4 linked regions of the Saccharomyces cerevisiae S288C genome follow. The gene in region 2 interacts genetically with the main gene of each other region. Each region holds a gene or a part of one and is shown on either strand. Other genes may lie near its edges. The genes, in order: PAA1, YDL186W, FIT3 and TPK1.

What was found.
Region 1: mutations in YDL186W (region 2) and PAA1 together harm fitness more than expected from each alone (negative genetic interaction), as found in Saccharomyces cerevisiae (2 studies listed by BioGRID).
Region 3: mutations in YDL186W (region 2) and FIT3 together harm fitness more than expected from each alone (negative genetic interaction), as found in Saccharomyces cerevisiae (2 studies listed by BioGRID).
Region 4: mutations in YDL186W (region 2) and TPK1 together harm fitness more than expected from each alone (negative genetic interaction), as found in Saccharomyces cerevisiae (3 studies listed by BioGRID).

Annotation. Positions count from the first base shown.
Region 1 is NC_001136.10:586,988-593,383, forward strand, and holds PAA1 (polyamine acetyltransferase), read right to left. Parts: upstream 2,416-6,396; coding exon 1,840-2,415; downstream 1-1,839. Other genes in the region: ubiquitin-specific protease DOA4, read right to left, coding at 1-732; FMP16 (Fmp16p), read right to left, coding at 1,111-1,392; IPT1 (inositolphosphotransferase), read right to left, coding at 2,774-4,357; SNF11 (Snf11p), read left to right, coding at 5,452-5,961.
Region 2 is NC_001136.10:122,648-128,960, reverse strand, and holds YDL186W (uncharacterized protein), read right to left. Parts: upstream 3,346-6,313; coding exon 2,512-3,345; downstream 1-2,511. Other genes in the region: VMA1 (H(+)-transporting V1 sector ATPase subunit A), read right to left, coding at 1-2,174; phosphoprotein phosphatase 2A catalytic subunit PPH22, read left to right, coding at 3,963-5,096; RBS1 (Rbs1p), read right to left, coding at 5,372-6,313.
Region 3 is NC_001147.6:1,057,896-1,064,079, forward strand, and holds FIT3 (Fit3p), read right to left. Parts: upstream 3,161-6,184; coding exon 2,546-3,160; downstream 1-2,545. Other genes in the region: YOR381W-A (uncharacterized protein), read left to right, coding at 528-695; FIT2 (Fit2p), read left to right, coding at 1,636-2,097; FRE5 (putative ferric-chelate reductase), read left to right, coding at 3,669-5,753. UniProt on the Saccharomyces cerevisiae protein: Involved in the uptake of non-siderophore and siderophore sources of iron. Has a role in the retention of iron in the cell wall and periplasmic space.
Region 4 is NC_001142.9:109,466-116,350, reverse strand, and holds TPK1 (cAMP-dependent protein kinase catalytic subunit TPK1), read left to right. Parts: upstream 1-5,191; coding exon 5,192-6,385; downstream 6,386-6,885. Other genes in the region: JJJ2 (Jjj2p), read left to right, coding at 722-2,473; YJL163C (uncharacterized protein), read left to right, coding at 3,018-4,685.

The sequences.
Region 1 (6,396 bases), 460 kb from region 2:
ATCTGAATATGACATTTTAAAAGAAATAGGCTCCAGGCATATAATATTTTTTGTATCAATATGTGACTTGTTGAATTCCAACCTTGATCGTATATCTATCAGTAGTATCTCCATTTGGGAGGAAGCAGAATTTGCTGATGAACTTATTAGGGAGTTTAATTGATTGGAAGTGATATAGGAACCCGTTCTCATCAGGTTACATTCTTCTTGCTCATGGTTCAATTTTGTTTGTTTTATGGAAGACTTAATGAAACTTTTTATTTTTGCAATGTTTTCATCTTTTAATAAGGTTTCCAGCAAAGTGTTGTAAATGTTCATGAGTTGAAATTCATTATTGTTGTTATTACCGTTGCCCTCATCACTCGTGCTCTTATGTAATTTAATCTTGGCGAATTCACTTAAATGAGGAATATTGGTTGTTACAATAATGTGAATTACCTTGTAGTAAACATAATTTAATTGAATAATCATTACGGAATTTGAACTAATCATTGCACCCTTATTTTTGCACGATATAATATTTTTGATATCTTTCGAGTTCTTCTTGTAAATAGATAAAATATCGATGCATTTATCTAGAAGACTGCTCAAATCTTGATCTTTTGCCTTACCAGTTATGATGAATTCGTTAATTTTAGCCTCTGCAATAGCGGTTAGTTGTGCTATCGTAAGGTACTTCGACCGGTGACGAATACACTCATCCCTTATGGTACTAATAATATTCTGCTCCATAACTTAAGCATGTATCAAATAGTAAAAAAAACTTTGGAAGCGTGCACACTCAGTCTTAAATCTGCCCTATACTACCGAAGATAAATACATGAACTACACGTATCATATAACATCATATCCTTTTTTTTTTTTTTTTTTTTTTTTCTAGGCTTTTACTAATACAAGGGCCTTAGCCATTCGCTAAACGTAATGAACGATATTGAAGCAAATGAAGTAAAACAATGTGGAAAGCAAATAAATAATGGTTATAGTTTTGCACTTATATAGATATCAATAAATGATATGATATGACTAAATACGATAGGACCAGGGGGGAAGGAATATAGATATGTGTATGACAGAAACTACATGCATATACGAGTTTGTACCAAGTGCTTCTTAATAAACACCGTCATCTGGCCTGTTTTGTTCGATTCTAGCGTCATCTCCCTTTTTTTTCAAATCTTCCATTCCAGGTTGCTTATAATCTGGATTCTTGCCGTGTTCCAAAGTGTCCAACCTCTTCTTGTTGCTATCAAACAAACCCTGTTCTTTTTTCTCAGCTTCATCTTGATTGTTCTTTAGGTGAGGAAAGGCGGCCCTAGTGACGATTGAGAAAGACGCCCTTGGCGATTTACGCATCAATTGTCTTGGAGTGCGCAAAAAAGTGGTTCTCAACATTATCAAATATATTCCTGTGTATTATATATGTGATACTGCGGTCTGGCTTCAACTGCTGTTGGAGTATTGTAGGAACAAGTATTCAAGGCCAAAAAAAACTAAGAGCCAACTCAAAGGCCATATCTACCTAATCAAATCTTGGGACCTTTATATACTTATGTGCTTTTACGGTTCCCTTAGATTCTGTACAGGAAGAAGGGGTTGATACAGGAACAAACCCTTTACAGTAAAGGTATCCTTAAAAAAAAAGGAAGGTAGTACGTATATCTCTCCAAGAACTGAAAAGAACCCAATCACCGGAATTAAGCAGTGATATCTCAGTACGGTCAAGGATGTAGGGTAGCACCAGTAGTAATGATTTTAATTATACTTGGCAATTTTAAAATATACAAAAATTATATGTAGTATTTATAATTAGACATTTGTAAAGTGCGTTAAACTAATGATCTAGTTGTCGTATTCTTCCTTAATTAGTTCTCTCTCCATATCGATCCATTTCTGTTCTGCGAAGTTTTTGTCCTTAGCAACATTGGTGTTCTCAGCAATGATCTTGAAACCAACTCTTTCATAAAATGGTATCAATGGCTCGTGAGCAATAAGGACAATTTTGTTACCAATTTCCTGATTACTCAATTTCTGAATGTAGTCAGTTAAAAGTAAAGTAGCCAGGTTTTTTTTCTGGTATTCTGGCTTGATTACTACAGAGTGAATACCAATATGATTACTCGATTCCACTTGTAATTTGCCCATGCTTTCGATAGTAATGTATTCATGAGGTATCTTAGTACCCATAATATGACCAATTAGTGTCTCCTTTTTAACTTCTTTGCCCTCGATCTCTCTGATGAAAAGACCTGAACATAGCTCTGGACAATTGATCAAACGAAAGCTGATAATTTCTTCTGAAGCTCTTTCGTTTGGTGGGAAACCTTGGCTTTCCAAGTTCAAAATCTGCTTTAAATCTTCAATGATTAAGGGTCTAATATACATATGAAGCGGTAGCGTGCTACTTGAGGAGGCCATTTTAACTTTTTATTTAATCGTAATGTATTGGTGTTATTTTTTCTCCGAGAAAAGTATTCTGATGTCCAATTCTTCTTAATCTAGTTTGTTGTAAATTTTTCTTACAAACACTTGCTCCCGCTTCTTGTCCAGTGGGATGTTCGTCGTTCTTCCATTGCTTTTCCATTTTTGCCCGTTCAAAACTATTCTTTTTATGAATTGACAGAAAACCAAAAGCAAGCCGATTTCAGGTTAACCCTTTATTAAAATAAAAAAAAAAAGCATGCATAACACTAATAATATATTATTAAAAAAAAAGCCAATCTATATTATTTAAATTATCCGAAATTACTTTTATTACATTATGACATTCTATAGTCTATGCAAGCGGATCAAAAAACCATTCCATCTTGGTGCCACAAAATACTCTCATGCCAAAAGTGCGAGCTTCGTTTCTTGTATCCACTTTGTCGCCTAACCTTATATGAATCCACTTTTTTAAAACTTTTGGTTGTAAAACAAACCAGTTTATGATGATGAAACTTGTCATTGCATATAAAACACCAACGAAAAGGTCAAATCTATAATGGTGGTCCAGATACATGGTAGCCCACCATTGTAGTATTATATATAGGATAGCCCAGAATTTTGGTATAAACCCATCGTTGACTATTTTAAAAATCCATTTGTTTGTGAAGTTCGTGTCTTCATCATATAAATGGACAAACTGGAGAGGTTTCTTATTGCCATTGCTGTTAATAATGCTGCCGTCGCCGCCGCCGGTGCTTCTTTCATTACTGGATACGGTGAATGAAGATGAAGGGGAGGAGGACCGCTCATTTGAAATATCTACAGGCTCAACGGTACCCAATGGTTCCATCTCTAAGTCGTTAGGGCCAATCGTGGGCGGTATGCTATTGTCACCTTCATCTTCGCTGTCTTCCTCACTCAACTTGAAAGTGGAAGAATCATTATTGTGCATTGTGAAACCTCCAGCATTGGAAAATCTGTGTTTTAAGCTGGTGGACCTTGAAACCAAAAACAAGAAACATTGAAATGCAATGGCGGAGTGTAGTGAAGGAACAGCACCAAACACAATAGGAGACATGTGAAATCCTTTAGTGTTCAAATGAGTACCCAAATGGCTATCTACTCTTATCAAACCGGCAGCAAACCCTTCCTGGGTGTAATTAACATGTTCGGTGTCATCAATACCGTACAGATGAGTAAACCATGGGGAGGCCATTGGAACAAGCAGATGGGTAAGGACCCCCGCTATATTTTGTAATCCTAGGGCAAAACTAAAGCATTTTAAAGTCCCCGGTGGTTGGAAGACGTATAAGTATACAGCTGTTAAAATTGGAGCTGTCAAGTGCAGGATGACATAGGAGAACCAAGCCAGTAAATCCTTGGTCTTAGTAAAGTTTGCATCCGACTGGTAAGCAAAGAAATGATCAATGTTGAGTATAACAAATGTAAACAGGGGCAAGGCAAACGGTATGAAAATTGTCCGAAATCTCTTTTGGATCGGCCGCTGCTTGCGCTTGCAGGGGTAATGAAAAATATTTGCGAACCACTCTAACAGATTATAGTTAACGTGCTTAATGTAATAGATGTAGTACCAAATGGCAAAGGGAATACATATCAGAAATACTAAGAGAAATGCAGAAGATGATATGAATGACCAGAAAAATAGCTTCGAAGTATTATCGGGCAATTGTACAGTAAGTTCATGCCAATAGTCCCCAAAGAGGAATTGATCAGCAAAAAAAGCAAACTTGCTATGAATGTCAGGTCTGAGCCTTATGGGTATCAGACCAGCGCGCTTGAATATAGACAGCCAAATAAACACTGGCGCAAAATTAAGCATGAAGTTGAACGGCAGGCTTATTAGATTACGTTGGTTCAAACTTGCATTATACATGTTTTTGACGAAACTCGCCAAAGAAAATATGACATTCATGCTTTCTTAGACGTTGAAAGACTTTAGGTGATTCTTAGCAGAAATGATAACGTCCAACCGGTGAAATAAAGGAACAGTTAGGGTGGCAATGAAAAAGTAGCGATGCTTATGAAAACACTATGCCTTAGGTTTCCTTTTTTTATTTTTATTTGACAAGTAGCGATTACTCTTCTATTGTTCCTGGTTTTTGATGCTCGAATGTATTATATAAAAATGTTGTGGCCGGAGGTCTGCATTTCTAGGCATTTTTCCTTTTTCTTATTTTTTTTACTTTCCTACTAACTTTGCACTTCGTAAGAGAATTTACACCAGAACTCTCGATTGAGGCGAAGAAGGCGGAGAAAAAAGCCGGTAAAAAAAAAAAGCGGAATCAATCAGCACAATCAGAGGCGTCAAGAAGCGGCGCGGGGATAATGCTTTTTTCCCGTGGCGTTCACATTTTTGTTCCGCGGAAAGCACGTGAGCGTAATCCACTCGGGAAGGGCGCAGCTGCCGTGGCCAACTGAAGTAATCTTTAGCCGTTTATCGCCGCGCAAAACGGCAATTGCACTTGAGACCCCAACGGCGCTGTGCAGCAGGGTATTCTACTACGTGTTAGCTTGCCTTGCATTTCCCCATGCGTCTCGAATAGGAATTATTCAAGATGGATTATTGGCATTTACGAGTAACCAAGGATAACCCCGCTGTGCGGTGAAACCACCCTCTTTTCACGTTTCTTCAAGGCCAGTGCAAACGCGAATAAACATATCTACGCTATATATAGATATGACGTTTCTCAAGCCAACAGAAGTAGATAAAGCAGCCAGGAGGGTAGAGAGTGTTCAAATTATAGCAAGCCTTCTTCTACCTGTTTTTTTTTGATGATTGTTTTGCCGGGTAACAATCGACTTTCGGGCAAATTTTTTTTCCTTTTTTCTCCTAACAGTATATACGGAGTGGAGAACAGACTTCCCATAAAAGCATATTACGTGGGGTCGTAGTAAGATTGCCGTTTATGATACCCTCTATTCAGGGCTCAGAGCGCATCACGATCGGGAGTGTAAATTCAATGTGCATATAAGCAAAACACACAGATTTCCTTTTTTCCCAGAAAAATGAGCAGTGAAATTGCCTACTCGAATACGAACACCAACACTGAAAACGAGAACCGCAATACTGGCGCTGGCGTAGATGTAAATACAAATGCAAATGCAAATGCAAATGCAACTGCAAATGCAACTGCAAATGCAACTGCAAATGCAACTGCAGAGCTGAACCTCCCCACGGTCGATGAGCAAAGACAGTATAAGGTACAACTGCTATTGCATATCAACAGCATATTACTTGCTAGAGTTATTCAGATGAATAATAGTTTACAAAACAATCTACAGAACAATATAAATAATAGCAATAACAATAACATCATCAGGATACAGCAACTTATATCTCAGTTCCTTAAAAGGGTTCATGCCAATCTTCAATGCATATCTCAGATAAACCAAGGAGTGCCCTCAGCGAAACCACTGATCCTCACGCCTCCTCAGCTAGCCAACCAGCAGCAACCTCCACAGGATATTCTTTCTAAACTCTATCTTCTCTTGGCAAGAGTGTTCGAGATATGGTAGAATAACTTTGTTTCTCTTCCCTTTTTTATTTTGTTTTTTTTTTTTTACTTTTGCAATTTTAATTTTGCATTCAGCTACAGGTGTGATTGCATACCCGCAGAGCAAGTACAGGAAGCATAAGAAAAATAGAATACGAAAAGCAGAAAAAGAAAGGCAAATAACAATCACTCAAGTACTACAACTGCATGAATTTATCGTATGTAATGTACCCAACGTAAATAATAATATTAGTATTTTAAAATCTATGACATCAGATGTAGTTATCTTACTGCCAGCCCTATTAATACTACTTTCTTATTATCTTCTTCGAGAGCCACCTTCGTCATCGTCGCAGTAAGCATTGTCATCTTCATCATGCACGTCGGTAACGGAAGCCTAATCTCAATATCTACTAGTTTACTCTACGCCATTTGGAGCGTAGCCCCTTCTCCTTTT
Region 2 (6,313 bases):
TGATCAGAATCATCAGATAAAGTAATCCCATAATAATCGTCTTCCTTCAATTCTTGTAACTCGAAATAAAATCCGCGGCACTCACGTGCAAAAGCAGCGGCGGGAGCAGGCCTGAATTTTTTAGAGCCGGCACACTTCGAAAGAACGTTAAGCAAAACATCTCCACCAGACATATAAATAGCATAACTAATTTTATGTTTGGTGCCATTCATGTCAACCTTAGCAGGTTCTGCGTTAACCGAGACTACTAAGCCTAAAGAACGAGCAAGGGAAACCAAACCATCTCTGACAGAAGTATGAATTGTCTTTATTGTTGCTTTAATACCATGCTCATCAGTAACATAGCCATCAGAATCAATTAGACCAGCAAGAAATGTTTCACGAGTACCGATATTGTCCGTAGACAAGAAAGAAGGAATATTTTTGACACCGTCCTTCAAGAATCCTAAGCCAACAATAGCGTCCCATAATGGATTCTCAGTATTAAGATTATTGCGAATACCATTACCTCTGACAACTTTAGAGTACAAATTAACAGTTTTGGCAACTTGTGGTTCTTTTCTGTCCTTATACTCGGCGCACAAATTCAACTTTTCAGCATATTCAGTAACACGTTCCATCAAAGAAGTATCTCTGGAATCAACCGAAAAAGTTGCCCTGTCAGACAATCCATCACCAATCCATAAACCAAGTAAATAAGCAAGTACTTTTGGACCTTCAATGGTGAGATGAAACTTACTTTTTTGCATGTAGTCGAAAAAGTGGTCATTCTCATAAAGAATTGGAGCGTAAGTCTGGTAGGTAGCTTTACGAACATGGGAACCCAACAGAGAAAGATCTCTGGCCTCAATAGTCCACTCAAAATAAGCTTTATTTGAAGCCTTTCTATAGGATTCTACTAATTCGTTGGCTCTCTCAGGCCCCTCAGATATTGGGTAGCTCTTTGAAACTTCCTTGACAAGCTCAACAATTCTACCGTCGGGGGCTTTCTTTTGGCCCATCTCAAAAGTAATAACTTCAAAATATTCGACACCCTTAATGGTACGAGACAAACGGCGGACACTACGAGGTGTTCTAACAACCAACTCATGGGTCGCATTACACGTAAACTTGAGTAATTCTGGCACTTCACGACTTGAGTCACTTTTGTGGGCTCTGTGCTGACTTTTCTGCACGACGCTGTACATAGTTTCTCTTCCTCTGGGCAATTTAATTACCTCACGAGGTCTGCCATCTTTACCCATGACCTTATTACCAACCTCAATGTTTTCAATACATTCAATAGACCCATCCGCCATTAAAACATTGGTACCCTTGGCAAAGCACCCGACATAGATAATGGCGTCAGAATTGGAGTACTTGGACAAAGATTGAGAGATAACGGTCTTACCACAACCAAAAGCACCTGGAATACATGTCGTACCACCTTGAACACAAGGAAACAAAGCATCCAAAACTCTTTGACCTGTTAACAAAGGATAGTCAGCAGATAACTTTTCAGTAACTGGTCTTGGAACACGAACAGGCCAAGTATGGTAAAGAGTGAAATCAGACTTCTTGCCATCAAATTCAACTTCCAAAATCTTCTCATCCAAAGTGTACTCACCAGCTGGAGCAATCCAAGTGATTGTACCTCTTGATCTTGGTGGCAAAAGAATCTTATGGCTTGAAATTAGCGAATTCTCAAAAACGGAACCGTAAATATCACCACCGGAAATATGATCGCCGACTTGAAACTTTCCCGGAGTAAATTGCCACTTGATAGTCCTATCCAAAGCTGGAGTGTCAATACCTCTTGGGATATAAATCGATTGCGATTCTTCCTTAATGGCTTTCAAAGGTCTTTGAATACCATCGTAAATGGTTTCCATCAGACCAGGACCCAATTCTACCGACAGAGGCTTACCTGTTCTCAAAACAGGGTCACCGACCGTAAGGCCTGCAGTTTCTTCGTAAACTTGGATGGTGGCCTTGTCACCGTCAATTCTAATGACTTCACCCACCAGGTTATCGTGACCGACCTTGACCAATTCGTACATGGCACAACCAATCATATTTTCAGCAATGACGACCGGACCAGAGACAGAATAGATGGCACCATATTCAGATTCAGCATGGTCTTCTAATGAGATTCTTTTTATTTCCTTACGAGCGTTTTCAATTGCACCAGCCATTGTTTCTTTTCTTCTCTATTTGCTTTTTAACTCTAAGAATGAAAGAACGACTCCTGCGTTATAATCTTAGATATCTATATGCTTTGAGAAATGTGTTTGGTACTTTTTATTCTAATCAACGTAGTAATCAAAATGTTGCAACCTTATCGAAAGAGCCATTTCTTGTTTTCAGCTTTTAATCCAGTGTGAGACCCCTTTGAGCGGCCGTGGAAAAAGATGTGAAAAAAAAAAAAAAAAAAAAAAAAAAAAGAAAAAGGAAAAAGAAAAAGAACAATACAATAAGGTTATGCTAGGAATAAAAAGAACAATAGATAGGACTATAGAAGCAAAGTGGAGTCTAATCGTGGTGGCAAAAAAATATTCTCGCCCAATTGGAGTCTGTACAGCATTGAAATGCCGATGAAGAGTCTACATACTGCTGCTGTTGCCGCTGTTGTTGTTGCTGTTGTGTTTGCCGTACAGACATGGAGTGGTTCAAGTTTAAGGTATCTAGGTAGCTGACAGGAATAGGATTGGAATAAACATCTCGATAGATAGAGAGTTCTTCGCCGTCCCCAATTTCAATGACTTTTCTTTCTGCTGGGTTTTGTTTTGTTCGAGTAGGAGCTTCGTACGGGAAAAGCACCGGTGTTTGCACTTGATGTTCGCTGTTCCTGGTTGACATATCATTTGGGCTTAGGTGAAATGAGAAGAGATCTTCTTCGAAAAGCTGCAACTCTTGGTCATCTTGACTCGCACTGTGTTCGGTTCGTACACCTTCTTCCTCGTCACGAAAAAACATTTTGGAATTGCGTTTCCACCAATCGGTAAACGATTCTACAATGGAACGCACGGATTCATCTCTCTTTGTTGAACCAAATGGATCCGATCTTCTCGAGTTGAATTGTGCTGTGCTAAGCTGATATGGATGCGTGCCATTAATAGCTTCAATTGCGCCACGATGTGAAGATGCAGGTGGCCTCCATTTTACAAGTACGTCCTCCATTTTTCCCACAAATACATTTTCTTCTCTTCTTCTTCTGCTTTTTTGTTTCGAAATCACGAGTTGCCTCACAGAGGGGAACTCACTTCTTGGTAAGAATCTGTTTTGAGCCTCCGCTTCAGGGCTGTAGGATGGGAAAGTTATGTCGCCCCCATCTAAACCATCTTCTATACTTGTGTTACACTGCATATTTTTCTAATATTTCTTGGCTATCTGTAAGCAAATCTACATCCAGGAATAGAGTCCACAAGTATATTCCATATAAAAGCACAGAACTACGAAGTGTCGCAAATTAGTTGTTTTTTTGGGAACTTGAACCCATACACCGCACCAAATTATTACAATATTTTGTGACACAGGACAGAATATTAATAAAAGAAGCGAAACTCTATTCTCCTAAAACTTCTTCTTGCGGAATTATGTATCAATTAATGCTAAGATTAATCCAAAAGCTTATACGACAACAATAGTCGTTGTGCACTTTGAAATACAATCGTGTATTACCCTGACATGACCGGGTAATCTAGAAGAGGTTATTATTTTCTTTTCCGCTGAATTGTGGAAAAGAGTCGTGGAAAGTTTCAAAGGGACATCCCCATTTTATAAAACCAATTGAAGGGCTGTAACTAGAGCAAACTTCTTAAGGTACCAGCCCGCTGCAAAACAGTGTTCGAACAAGAACACGCAAACCCGTTTACTTCTTGTCCTACCTGCTCTCTTTCCTTTCCGGTTATTGTTCCTGTTACGTCTTTTTTTGAATTTTATATTATTGGCACTTCTGTATAACTGGCTTTCATTCGAAAAAAATGGATATGGAAATTGATGACCCTATGCATGGTTCAGATGAAGATCAATTATCACCGACTCTCGACGAAGACATGAATAGTGATGACGGCAAAAATAATACGAAGGCGCGTTCTAATGACGAAGACACAGATGAAGAGTTGGAAGATTTTAATTTTAAACCGGGGTCCTCGGGTATAGCAGATCATAAATCCTCCAAACCACTAAAACTGACCAATACAAATATAAATCAGCTTGACCAATGGATTGAGCATTTGAGTAAATGCGAGCCACTATCAGAAGACGATGTAGCACGACTATGTAAAATGGCGGTGGACGTGTTGCAGTTCGAGGAGAATGTTAAACCAATTAACGTGCCTGTTACCATTTGTGGTGACGTACACGGTCAATTCCATGACTTGTTAGAACTTTTCAAGATTGGTGGTCCTTGTCCTGACACCAATTACCTTTTCATGGGTGATTACGTGGATAGAGGATATTATTCTGTTGAGACCGTATCTTACCTAGTTGCCATGAAAGTCAGATATCCACATAGAATTACTATACTTAGGGGCAATCACGAGTCTAGGCAGATTACCCAAGTATATGGGTTTTATGACGAATGTTTGAGAAAGTACGGCAGTGCGAACGTGTGGAAAATGTTTACCGATCTATTCGATTATTTCCCCGTTACTGCCTTGGTGGATAATAAAATCTTCTGTTTGCATGGAGGTCTCTCACCCATGATAGAGACAATAGATCAAGTTAGAGATTTAAATAGAATACAGGAAGTGCCTCACGAAGGTCCAATGTGTGACCTTCTATGGTCCGATCCTGATGATAGAGGCGGATGGGGAATCAGTCCGAGAGGTGCAGGCTTCACTTTTGGTCAAGACATCAGTGAGCAATTCAATCACACTAATGACCTATCACTAATAGCAAGAGCTCACCAATTGGTAATGGAAGGATATTCTTGGTCTCACCAGCAAAATGTTGTCACCATTTTCAGTGCTCCAAATTATTGTTATAGATGTGGTAACCAGGCCGCTATTATGGAGGTGGATGAAAACCATAATAGGCAATTCTTACAATACGATCCATCTGTGAGACCCGGTGAACCAACCGTCACCAGGAAGACACCGGATTATTTCTTATAATATATATCTATTACACCTTTATCCTTACTACGCTATTTCATTCCAACATACATTTATTTTTTTTTTTTTTTTAATATATATTTAGTTACTTTTTCCCTCTAATTTTTGATAATAACAACTTATATACAAACATACAAACTATTTTTTCGTTTTCAAATACTTATTTTTTCGAACACAAAGTGAAAACAACTTTTTCTCATATATTACTGTTCTCATACTAGAATTTCTATAAACCGTTACGTAATTTTTTCGCTATGTATAGTTCACTCCTCACGCTAAATGTTTAATTTATCAAATTTCATCTCTACCGAATCAGTATCCCTAGATGACGGCGAACCCTCAACACTAGCCCTACGAATTCCCTCATTCTTATTACTGTTACTGTCATCACTACGTTTCGGAATCGCACCAGAATATGAATTTTTTCCTTGAAAATGGTGGTACTTATTTGCTGAGGATCTTGTGTAATTGTTAGAATTATAGCTTGGTGTATTGCTATATGGCCCGCTGTGATACTGAGTGTTATATTGGTATTGATATTGATATTGGTATGGGGGATACATAGGGATTGGGGTGCCAAACGAACAGGACCCTTGGGGATTCATATTGTACATGTAAGGGTTCATGAAGACTGTGTTATTGCCCATTACCATGGGTGAAGGTGCAGGACCGGGGGCAGGACCAGCGGGGTTATACATTAGAGGGTAGGTTGGCAGACTATTGCCACCCATTTGGGGAGGAGGATACACAAGATATGGCGAAGAATATCCCGATTGGTAACCGCCGTTTTCTTTATTCCGACGACTTTGGCCTCTATAGGCATCTTTGTAATTGTTTGTTCCTCTTCTTCTTCCTCCTCTTCCTCTTCGACTATCATAAAATTGTTGTTGAGGTTTGTTTACTTGTATCGTCGTCACAGATGAATTGAATGGTGATGAAGAGCTAACTGAACCGTTACTAGTTTGTGTGTTAGAGTCATCTCCGTTCAACCAATCACTCCATTCATTGTCACTATCACTACTACCGCTACTGTTGGTTGACTTTACATCGTCTTCACTCTTGTTGAGCTTATCAAAAATTTCTTGTTTACGTTGTTCATAAAGTCTTTCCTTCTCAATTCTTTCTTGTTCCAAATCAGTACTAGATTTATCATCGATTTCGATTTTTTGGTCCTTATTTGAATTGGCTGTCAAATTGCTATTTGGTGTACGTGTATT
Region 3 (6,184 bases), on a different chromosome or scaffold from region 2:
TTTTCTGGATTGATGTTCTTTCCAATTGTTGTGGTAATCCACAGCTGGTATAACATAAAAAGAAGTTTTTTGTAAAAAAAAAAAATTTCTCAGTAAGCATATAAGCCTCAGTGAAATAAAATTTTAACAACTACACGCTATTCTATTCCATTTGCCCTGCTTTTCTCGCTTCGTTATCACCTAACCACTAAGAACATACTAATAATACAAAATTTTTATCCACTTTTTACCAACAGATTTTCATGAAATATCCATCTTCTTTCCGAATTCTGTATAAAATGAAAGAGAGATTTTTTGCTCTCAATCCAGGCTCAAGGCTCTTGAGAACAGGTAATTGTTGTTTAGCACGTTTTCAACACATTTATCAGAAAACGACAGTTAAAAATAAGACGAGCGGCGTTATCATCCTGATAGTCACTAAATGAAAAGCAGGTACTTTTGAAGAGCACATGTAATATTTGCTCAACTGATAATACCTTCATTTTATACACACTTCTAATTTTTTTTTTAAAATCAGATACGCATTGATGTTCAATGTAGCATTACCATCACAAGACAAAAAATCAGAATTTTACAAGCAAAAGCGCTTATCTTTAAGGACCAACATATTAGATGAATTCTTAAGGGTTGCCAAAACGCAAGACAACAGGCAAAATAATTTCGTTTCTCAGTACCGAAATGACGAAATATACTGAGGCAAATGCGATCATCATGCCTTTGCGCCAAGAAACTCCCTTGTGAAGAACTTCAAACCGAAATGGGAAAACTTTGAGTTATTGACAGGGAATACGGAGGGGAAGATCACACTTAAATCCGTATGAGCCGCGCACATAATGGTATTCAAATACACAAGAACATTCATGAGCTATTTTTCATCCGTGCAAACGAATTTACTACAATTGGACCAGAGGGCACCATAACTGGAGACTTTGCTACTGACTCAACGTTGATGATGCGAGTAGTGGGTGTACTGTGATTTGCTCATTTTTTTTTTTATAGAAAGATTCGATTAATGAAAGTCACAGGAGACATTTTTACATAGACATTCCGTATATGTTGCGGGTATCGCGGATGCGGATTAGTGATGCCTTTAACTACATTTCATAGATTTCTGTATACCAATTGAAATGAGTGAAGTAAGCTCCTACAGTGAAATATCTGGGTGCTACTGACGCCAAGCCCTACAGCGATCGGAATGCGGGAACGGAAGTTAACGGGGCTTCCAGAACGGCGGAAGCGAATTGAACGAGGACGGCAAACAAAAACACCCAAAATTTCATTACTTAGAATGACCCTCAAGAGCAGGGTGCAATTTATCAAGCGATCATTGAACTAACTAAGTTCATATCCTGTATAGGATTTAAAACAATGCACCCTAAGTTCAAATGCACCCCCCCTCGCCCCGCAGCGGACCCTTGAACAGAGAACTGTTTCGAGGTTCACCCAATTGGATCACTTGTATAATTTGTAATCGAGTTCGGATAAGATGTATACGAATCTAACTGGGTGCAGTATAATTAGCATTTTATATTACCTAGCAATATATGTATAAAACAGGAATGTGTGCGTGCTTCAGGCAGAATTTTACGGTCCTTGTAAAAAAGTCTATCATAAAGCCATCACAAAACAATAATAATGAAATTCTCAACTATTTTCGGAGCTACTACAGTTATGACTGCCGTCTCGGCAGCAGCTGTGTCGAGTGTAATGACCACTAAGACTATTACTGCTACTAACGGTAATAACGTTTACACTAAGGTCGTTACCGACACCGCTGACCCTATCATTAGTTACAGTACCACTAGAACTGTCGTTGTCAGTAATAGTGATGCTACTTACACAAAGGTTGTCACCGAAGGACCAGATACCACCTCTGAAAAGAGTACAACAAAGACACTTACTTTGACAAACGGTTCAGGTTCATCAACCAACCTTTACACCAAGACCGTCACTCAAGCCGTCGAATCATCTACATCCTCCTCATCCTCCTCATCCTCCTCCTCCTCTTCTGCCTCTTCTTCTGGTGCTGCTCCTGCTGCATTCCAAGGAGCAAGTGTCGGTGCATTGGCCCTTGGTTTGATTTCTTACCTATTATAAGCTCGGTTTCAAACCAGAAAAAAGCTATTAGTTATCGTGTATAGCATATTTATAACTTATCTATGAAAAGCTAATATAATTGTCTTTCTCCTTCAAAAGGCTAGTAAAAAGGACTTTTTTTCATTACGTTTCTCAGTGACTTCAATGTAGCAGTTTTTCGTTTCATCATCATCATCGTATTATTATTATTGTTATTATTATTATTATCATTACTTTTATTAATATTAACTATTTTTTTAGTATGATTTCGGGTATATTTATTTTAATTAGATACTTTTAACCGTTTCAAACAATTAAAGGAAGACCAACGAACTTGAAACAGTATATATACATACATACTTAATGTGTGTTATTAAAATTTTTTTATTCTAACATAACTTCGAAAAAAGGCCAAGCCGCAAGGTGCTTCATAAAAATCGGATATCCCGCATGATTATTCACATATCATTTACAATAACATGACGGCAGCAAGGGCAGCACCCATCAAACCAGTACCAGCGGTGATGGCATCAGCAGCACCGGTGTAACTAGATAATTCAGCGGTGCTAGAGGATGTAGCAGAGGAAGAAGTTTCAGCAGTGGTGGTTGCAGTGGTTGAAGCAGAAGAGGTAGCAGCTTCTGAGCTGGTAGAAGTACTACTTGGAGACCAGGTGTTGCTGCTGCCTTCACCAGTCCAGACAAAAGTAGCATCTTGGGTGACAGTCTTAGTGTAGACGTGACCGTTCTTGGTGGCAGTGATAGTGGTAGTGATACTAGAACCAGAACCTTCATCAGCAGAAGAAGTCTCAGCAGCAGAAGAAGTCTCAGCAGCAGAAGTGGTAGCGGCAGCAGAAGTGGTAGCGGCAGCAGAGGTTTCGGCGGCAGAAGTTTCGGCGGCAGAAGATTCAGCGGCAGAAGTGCTGCTGGCGTAAGAGTCTTCACCACCCCAAACAAAAGTAGCATCTTGGGTGACAGTCTTAGTGTAGACATGACCGTTCTTGGTGGCAGTGATGGTGGTGGTGATACTCTCAGCAAGAGCAGTAGCGGCAACAGCAGATAGAACCAAAGCGGAAGAGAATTTCATTTTAGGGATTATTGTTATTAGTTATTTTTAAGCGAGTGGAAGTACTTGTTTGTATCTGTTCGAACATTCATATTACCTCCTAATACTTCAAATAGTTCTTGGCTTAAATACCCCATAAATCAACTTTTACAAAAAAAAAAATAACAAATCTCGAACGATAATTGAACCCCATTTTTTTGCACCCTTTCCTAGAATGGCGGAACTCGGCTCTTGAGCCCTTAGATTGCTTTCCTTCACATACATCAAAAAATATGGGATAGCGGGGTGCGGAACAAACAGGGTGCAAAAAAAAATCTAGGACATAGGTAGGACTAAGAAGACTGTGGCATTACTACACAGCAATCATATTTTACCGCTTCCTCGTTTAATTGGATTTTTACTTTTCATTACATTAGCGATCATTAAAAAAGGAGCGTCAATTTTTTACTTGGCAAATGTGTAATGTAGCGTTTTCGGTATGTCACATCACCAATTTTGTCGCAGTTAATTTAATTCACCCAGATTTCGAATGCTTTTCGCTAGATTAGTGCTGCTGTTGGTGTATTTGGCACCAGGTTCTTTAGCAAAACCAGCATCAACTAAGAAAAGAACGCAATGGGACCAGATAGCAATTGATGCTTGTGCTAAAGAATTGGAATCACACAAATTTGACACGGATGTGAAGGGTCGGCACGCTACTCTTTGCACTTATGAACCAGCACTAGGGTCTTGGTTACATTGCGCGAAGGATGTTCTCGACAGTAGGAAGAAAAGTAAAAAAATATTCGAAAAAACGTTTAGCAAAATTAATCAGTATTGCCACGATTATCACAAAGATGAGGTCGTCAGCAATGAGGAGTATTATCGAATTTTTGCCAATGCATCCCTTTTCATCCGGCCTCTTGATGAGGTAAAGGAAAACATACGATATCCCGTCACTCCCAATAAAGCCTCTCTAGATAGGTGGGTATGGGCTTATTTTGGGCCCCTGGATAATATAGACAAAGGAAATGTTTATGGAGTGACGATTTGCTTATACTGGATAGGAGTTCTGTTTATTGCAGCTGTATATCACTTCTTGAACTTTTCTCGACTTAAACAAACGGTGTTCAAAAACAAGGTGTCTGCTTTCTTAAGAGGCCACTATGTTCTTCCAGCGCTTGTTCATAACCATGCTATGTCAGTGGGAAGGTGGTTTTTCATCGGTCTGGTCCCTACCAGGTTAGAGACCCTTGTCCTATTCGGTTACGTTTTGTTGCACGGGTTCTTGTTGAGTAGTTACAATTTTGACCATAATGAGTTGCTCAGTGATCGCAGAAGCCAAGTGCTTATCTTCCTTTCCGACAGGGCAGGGATCCTGGCATTCGCACATTTTCCTTTGATAGTTCTCTTTGGCGGTAAAAACAGCACAATGACTTGGCTCACAGGTATAAGATATACCGCATTCATTACTTACCACAAATGGTTAGGAAGATTCATGTTAGTAGACTGTACGATCCATGCAATAGGATACACCTACCATGCATACATAGAAAATTACTGGAAATACGTGAAGTATAGTGATCTATGGACATCCGGAAGACATGCCATGATCATTGTTGGAATACTTGTGTTTTTTTCGTTCTTCTTCTTTAGACGACATTATTACGAATTGTTTGTTATTACGCACATTATCTTAGCAATAGGATTTTTCCATGCGTGCTGGAAACATTGCTATAAACTTGGATGGGGTGAATGGATAATGGCGTGTGCACTGTTTTGGATTGCTGACCGTATTCTGCGGCTAATAAAGATTGCAATTTTTGGAATGCCATGGGCTAAATTGAAACTGTGTGGCGAGTCCATGATAGAAGTGAGAATCTCAAAAAGCTCCAAATGGTGGAAAGCAGAACCTGGCCAATATATATATCTGTACTTCTTAAGACCAAAAATATTCTGGCAATCACATCCATTCACGGTCATGGATTCTTTGGTTGAGGATGGTGAGTTGGTAGTTGTGATAACAGTGAAAAATGGGCTAACCAAAAAATTACAGGAATACCTTTTAGAGAGCGAAGGGTACACGGAAATGCGAGTACTAGCAGAAGGACCTTATGGACAAAGCACGCGAACACATTTGTTCGAAAGCCTCCTGTTTATTGCCGGAGGGGCGGGTGTTCCTGGACCTCTGTCGATGGCAATAAAGGCAGGTCGCCAGGTCAAAAGCAACGATTCTCATCAAATGATCAAATTTGTGTGGAGTGTACGTAACCTTGATCTCTTAGAAGTGTATCGCAAAGAGATAATGGTGCTAAAAGAGTTGAACATAGACACAAAAATTTACTTCACAGGAGAGCGAAAAGATGAATCGAACACGGAGGAGGGAGCAATTGCTAATATGAGCACGGAAGGCAGACTGCTGACGACATCGAAATCAGCGGAAATGATTACTGATTTTGGACGACCAAATATCGATGAGATAATTGAAGAAGCAGTAAGTGGTGCAAAATCTTTGTTGGTCACTTGTTGCGGGTCAGAGGGCTTTGTAGACAAGACACGAGAGTTGACGGCAAAAAGAGTTCTTGAACACGGTGACAAATGGATAGAATACGTGGAGGAATTCCAGAATTGGTAGCATTTCAATCCGCCCTATCAATGCTAACCTGTTACGAATACCAAAACCACAAAAACACGGACCTTGTTTAATTACTGTATGAAATAACTGTACTCCATTAATATTCAATGCATTTAGTCCTTAAAAATCAGCGGGAATCTAATAAGCCGGCGAAGGTACTACACCTCACCCTTACTGTTATTTAAAAATCCTATTTGTGGGGATTTGCAATTAGTTTTCATCGCCAAATAACAATCCTTCACTGCACACCACTACTTAAAAAAAGGGTACATTGCTAACATTCTTGGTATGAAAAATTGCAGTCATTTAGATTGAGTTGGCAAAAATACAAATTTAACGCATGAGTATAAAATCGCTATTCGCTTTATTATTATTTCCTCCCTGATTAATAAATATCGAAGGGTAATCAGGGTTACGGGAACAGTACTTAT
Region 4 (6,885 bases), on a different chromosome or scaffold from region 2:
CGCATTGTATTGATTTTATAAGGGATGTATTGCATTCGGCTAAGGCAACATTTATGGATAACGAAGTGCGGTTGAGTTCTGGTATCGGTTTTGAGAGAGTCTCTGTTGCTGTTAAGATTCCAATTTACATATCTGTCCTGCACAGGTTAGCGCTGCGGCGTTGCACAGGCATGAAACTAGGAAAACGTACTTTGGGCAGATTTGTAAAAAAAATTCTATCAAAACAACTAGTACAGAACAGTTGAGTTTAGAGCCGGTGTCTATTATCATATGGGAAAGATGATCCTCTTGTTAATTTGGTAAGTAGTACTATTAGGTGTTGAATATTAACCGTTTATAATCCGATATAGTGTAACGGCTATCACATCACGCTTTCACCGTGGAGACCGGGGTTCGACTCCCCGTATCGGAGTATTTTTTATGTGATTAGCTAAATAGTTATTTTTTGAAATAGTTTGTAGTAGTTCACCTTTATCCTATTAAAATATAATATCACACGAAAATTATCTGTTTGTCCTCAATTCAGTTGATCATTGTGCTAGATGTTCAATATTGTGAAACTTTTACAATACCGATTCGGTGCGGACATCTTGAAAATACAATACCGTGCGATGCCTTTAAACTTTTTTTGAGGCATGAGCGTAAATAGACCTGGAATGTTCAATATAGACTGTAGCAAAGTGCTTCTTCAGTTTATGCTATTGTACACTGTACTATTCTTATGTCACAGGTAATAGAACCACAATTAGATAGAACAACCTATTATTCCATATTAGGCTTGACATCAAATGCGACTTCCTCCGAAGTACATAAATCATATCTAAAACTGGCCAGATTACTTCACCCAGATAAAACAAAATCTGATAAGTCTGAGGAATTATTCAAAGCTGTGGTGCATGCACATTCAATTTTAACTGATGAAGATCAAAAACTTCGATATGATCGAGATTTGAAAATCAAAGGTTTACACACTTACCAGCCGAAGAAAAACTGTCATATTTTCAAGACCAAGGCAAAGGAATCACAAGGGGCTAGTCCCACACTTGGTCAATCAGAAGCTTATCATAGGCAAAATAAACCTTATGAGCAACAGCCCTACGGTTTCGGTGTAGGCAAAAAAATGACCTCAAGCTCTAAGAGTAAGGTTCCGATATTCAAGTCCTTCAATTTAAAAAGCTACCAACGAAACCACTATTATTCATCCAAAAAGGAAAGGAAACATGGAAGTCCTGATATTGATTCTTTGTTCCATGAAACCAATGGAGCCTCAAAAGTAAGAATGACTGATGCCGGTAAAATGGATACGAACTCTCAGTTCCAAGAAATATGGGAAATATTGGGTAAAAATGCGTACACACATAAATCTTACTCTGAAGATCCAAATTCATGTTTGGGATCAGCACTAAGCGATCATGAAGAAGAAGAAGAAGCAGGAAAACAACAACAGCAACAGCAGCAACAACAGCAACAGCAGCAACATTATGGAATGACGTCGAAGTCTAGCAGTCCTGATGAAGAAAAAAAAAATAATAAAGAACCGAAAAGGGAAAGCAGAGTCTCTCCAGAGGAAAATGGCGAAGAAGAAACGGGACACAAACAATTTAAATTGCCCAAGACCAGTACTTTTTCTAGTGGATCCCATGATTCAAATTTGCAATCTCCTTTTTACAATCATGAGTATCGACATTACGCAAGAAGTAAATTCGAATGCAAGAATCAGTTTAGAAAGTCAGTTTCTCCCATTAAAGAGATACCTGCAACAACTAGTGCCAATGAAGGATGGAACATTTTGAGAGACATTATTGAAAAACTCAATATAAGCAATGTAGACGATCGAAATAAAGACTTGCTGTTTCGTCGGGATGAAATAGGTGATAAAAATCACAGCGACTCAATCGACATAGAAAATTTATCTATCAAAGAACCTAAAGGGATGAAAAGGAGAAAGAAAGATGATATATCTTTAGAAGAATTGTTCCAATCTTTACCAAGAGAAAAAGATTATTTTATGATGGATGCAATTAATGACTCGTTAGAATCAATCAATCTTTTTAAAAAGCCGAAGACCACTCAGAGTCACGAACAAGGTGGAACTTTTGCCCAAGCAGAAAGTAATCGTGCAAAATTCAAACCGTTACTAGAACAGTGTGGAATTACACCCGAGATCTTAGATTTGGAAATACCAGAGATTCCGGAATTTGATGCAGTGGCTGACCTTGAAACATTGAAGCTTAACGTGCAGCTGTTTAATAACCAATGTAACAAACTTAAAGAAACAATACATCAAGTATCATTACAGCGCCTGAGAGCAGATACGCAGTTCAGTGATATGTTAACCCAAAAGCAAAGTATTATGGTTTGGAAAACATACCTAGAATTTGATAAAAGTTTAATGGACAAATTGAACATCTTACAAGAAAGACAGATGCAGGTCATTAAAATTTTTTCCGAAAGATGTGACGGTAAAGTATAATCGAACGCTCTTCTTAATGAGCATATACCCGTCGTCCTTACGCCAGGATGGAAATAATTTGAATGAATAATGTAAAATATATAAAAGTATCTAGTCAGTACATTTCATGTCTCAATTATTAATATCTTAAATATATATTTAGTTATGGAAATTCAATAAACTACTGAAATAAATAGAAAATTCTTACAGAAAATGGTAAAAGTAAAAAAAAATTACCAAAGGGTGCACTTGGCAATTTAAAAGTACTTATAAACTGGTTTGGCTTCCAAGTGAATGAAAGTGCTATGGGATTATCATCAGGTAAGTACAGTGTATCTTACTAACATTGGCCGAGCGTTTATTGTTGTTCCGTGGAAGTTTATCATGATTTCCCGCCCTTAATCGAAATCAAAAAAAAAAAAAATAAAGGGTAAGGGATTCCTAAAAACCAACAAGATGAAGGGCTGATCTGCAAGAAGTCTAATAGACTTATAAGGAATACAAACCCTAGTTCTTGCATTTCACGTATACATCTTCAAACCGTGCGAAGCAAAGGCGCAGAACAATGTCAAACGAGGATGAAACAACTCGTTTAATGTCTTCAGATGAGATGGACTATTTATTGGAAACGGCTGGGATCAACGCCTTGGAAGAAATCATTAGTCAAAATGACAGTACTGGAATAAATTTGGATACTAATGAAACAGCTCAGGACAGTAGCTATGACTCTATCCGGCGCTCCCCCAGTATTTTGAGTGTTGCCAAAAGCGTTGAGGGAGAGCATGGACGTAGAAAACTATTATGCCTTTACGGCCTTGTTATGATTATCTGTATTGCGGAGTCTATTTCTATGACTGCTACAATACCGTTGGTGATGGACAAGGTAGCGGAAGGAATTTCAGATGAGAATGGACATTATGATTCCGTGGCTGTACAGACAATAGTTTCCAGCATTTCTTCATCCACTATGATGATAGCAGGGGCAATCAGTATTTTCATGGCTGGTAAGTGGGGAGAATTATCCGATAGAATAGGAAGAGTGCGTGTTTTCAAATACATGAGCGGCATCAGGGTCATAGGGCTTCTTACGCACGTCTTTACCCTATCATCGAAAATGAAGTATCACAAATGGGCTATTGTTCTTACTGCGTGTATCGTACCATCATTCGGTGGCTTGTTTGCGCTAGTGGCGAATGGAAATAGTTACGTTTCAGATATAGTGAAAACTGAGCACAGAATGGTGACAATAGGAATAATGATGAGTTGTATATATGCCACTATGGGCGTAGGCCCAATGTTTGGGTCCTTTCTGGTGAAGTGGACTCATGGAAACGGGTTCATTCCTATTTACACATCAATAGCGTTTGTTATACTGGCGCTTATAATATGTGAGACAATCATGGTGGAACCGCGCCATGAAACCCAAATGGCCCATTCACAATCAACTTATACAAAGAGGAGAGAGAAACTAAGATCACAATCGGGTTCTGACGATGCAAGAAATTACCAATCCGTTACTTATGGAAAATTTCAAATAATGAGGTTAATGGACCTGCTCGCTCCAGTAAAAAAGTTATGGCTGAAGCCCGACAGTGCAGGGTCTTTAGTACCCCGGCATACCGTAATATTACTCATTGTACTCGATATACTATTTGTCTGTGGAACGACATCGTGTATGCCAGCATTGATTTTGTTTTCTACATATGAGTACAAATGGCATGCAGTAGAGCTAGGTTATTTCATATCGATACTGGGTATCGGAAGAGGTGTTGTGTTACTGGTCGTATCACCTACATTACTGTACACGCTAAAGAGGATTTATCAACACTTGAACCATTCGATAGACAAGATAGACATCTTTTGCATACAGTTTTCTATGATTGTTATAACACTGAGTCTCTTTGTCATGATACGATTTGGCGAGAAAACTCCCACATCCATGATAATATTCGCTCTTTTACAGGCATTGAGCGCGTTTTGTTCACCAACTTTGCAGTCTGGTATCATAAAGTACACCTCTAAGAAACATACAGGCGAGATGTTCGGAGCAATGGCTTTGGTAAGGTCCTGTGTTATGCTTGTCATCCCTCCCATCCTCCTTAAGCTATATGGAAGTACTGTCTCCGTTAATCCTAGTCTGTTTATGTATATACCGTTCTCAACAAGTATTGTTGCCATCTTGTTGACATTCTTCCTAAGAATTTACAAGAACCCTCCGCTGGACGGGCCTTAAAAACATTTACATACCGTATACACCACATATTTTTAGTTACTTGTTCGAAGCTGTGCTGCTATTCGTTCTTGCAAAGCCAGTGTCCTAACGACTTTGCTTATGACATGATTCAACATAGTGTTGTTGTGGTTTTTTCTACGTAATCATGATGATCTTTTTTTTCGCGCTATTAGGGGGGAGGGAAGGCGGGATCTGGTAAAAGTTTGACATAATAATCAAGGGGGATATCGTATCCCTTTACTTGAAAACTTGAAAAATATTCATCTACTATCTCTGGCCAGAAAAACGTGAGAATTTTTAGGTGCGAAACATCATAGAAGCTGCGATTGTATCCATCTAAGAGTTTTAATTTGATAAAGCTAAGGAATCTGACCCTATACTTTTTTTTTTGTTTGGCTTGCTTGCATTTTCAATCGGCTTCAAAGGTAGCACAGAAAGTAGTGTTCTCTTAGCTTAAGCAGTGCATGAATTATAGCTGATTGTGTGAAAGAATCTTTTTTTTGGGTATGTCGACTGAAGAACAAAATGGAGGTGGTCAAAAGTCTCTAGATGATAGACAAGGTGAGGAATCACAAAAAGGTGAGACTAGTGAAAGGGAAACAACAGCCACAGAGAGCGGTAACGAAAGTAAGTCTGTAGAAAAAGAGGGTGGAGAAACCCAAGAAAAACCGAAGCAGCCACATGTCACTTATTACAATGAGGAGCAGTATAAACAGTTTATTGCCCAAGCGAGAGTTACAAGTGGGAAGTATAGTTTACAAGACTTTCAGATATTAAGGACACTGGGTACGGGTTCTTTTGGTAGGGTCCATTTGATTAGATCAAGACATAATGGCAGATACTACGCCATGAAAGTTTTGAAAAAGGAAATCGTGGTAAGATTGAAACAGGTGGAGCATACCAACGACGAGCGATTGATGCTTTCTATCGTAACACATCCGTTTATTATTAGAATGTGGGGGACTTTCCAAGATGCTCAGCAAATTTTCATGATTATGGATTATATTGAAGGTGGAGAATTGTTTTCTTTGTTAAGGAAATCCCAAAGATTTCCCAACCCAGTTGCTAAATTTTACGCAGCGGAAGTTTGTTTAGCTTTGGAGTACTTGCATAGCAAGGACATTATTTATAGGGATTTGAAACCGGAAAATATCTTGCTTGATAAAAACGGGCATATAAAGATAACAGATTTCGGGTTTGCCAAATACGTTCCTGACGTCACATATACATTATGCGGTACTCCCGACTACATAGCACCCGAGGTCGTTAGTACTAAACCATATAATAAATCTATCGATTGGTGGAGTTTCGGTATTCTGATTTACGAAATGCTAGCAGGATACACGCCATTTTACGACTCTAACACGATGAAAACCTATGAGAAAATCTTGAATGCCGAATTGAGATTTCCACCATTTTTCAACGAAGATGTAAAGGACCTGTTGAGTAGATTGATCACAAGAGACTTAAGTCAAAGACTAGGTAATTTACAAAATGGTACAGAAGATGTCAAAAACCACCCCTGGTTCAAAGAAGTTGTCTGGGAAAAATTATTATCTAGAAACATAGAAACGCCGTATGAACCGCCCATTCAACAGGGACAAGGTGACACCTCACAGTTCGATAAGTACCCGGAAGAAGACATCAACTACGGTGTTCAAGGTGAAGACCCATATGCTGATCTTTTCCGGGACTTCTAATGACTAATGTTTTGTTGTATTTTCCTCTCGTATCTATATTTTTTTTTTTTCATATTTTTTTCCCTCTTTTCTACATAACAACTATCCTTCGAAAACGAAATTTCAACCCCTGTATAGTTACTACGGAGATGGAACGGCGTTCACTGTTCTTGTAGATTGCATACATGATGTTATCGAGGCGTATTCCTACCATTAAAAGGGCTTTTATTCTACGCTTCTGTCTTTGATTTTCTACTTTGCTCGCCGCGCCACTTTCGAAAGCTTGCATCATGAAATGAAGGATTTTGCATATCGATTTTTTTTTTACGTGAGCCCCTTGGTATAAACCAAATAAAGGGCAATTGGTGGCTCCAAACAAGTCGGAATCTCCATTCTATACGTGTATATTTTAGGAAGCATTATAGTCTACGAAAAGATCCATTCTTTCCATCCATTTACTTTTAGAATACAAAGGAGATAGAGAAACTTGCTAAATAAAAAAAAAATTTTGAAAAAATAAA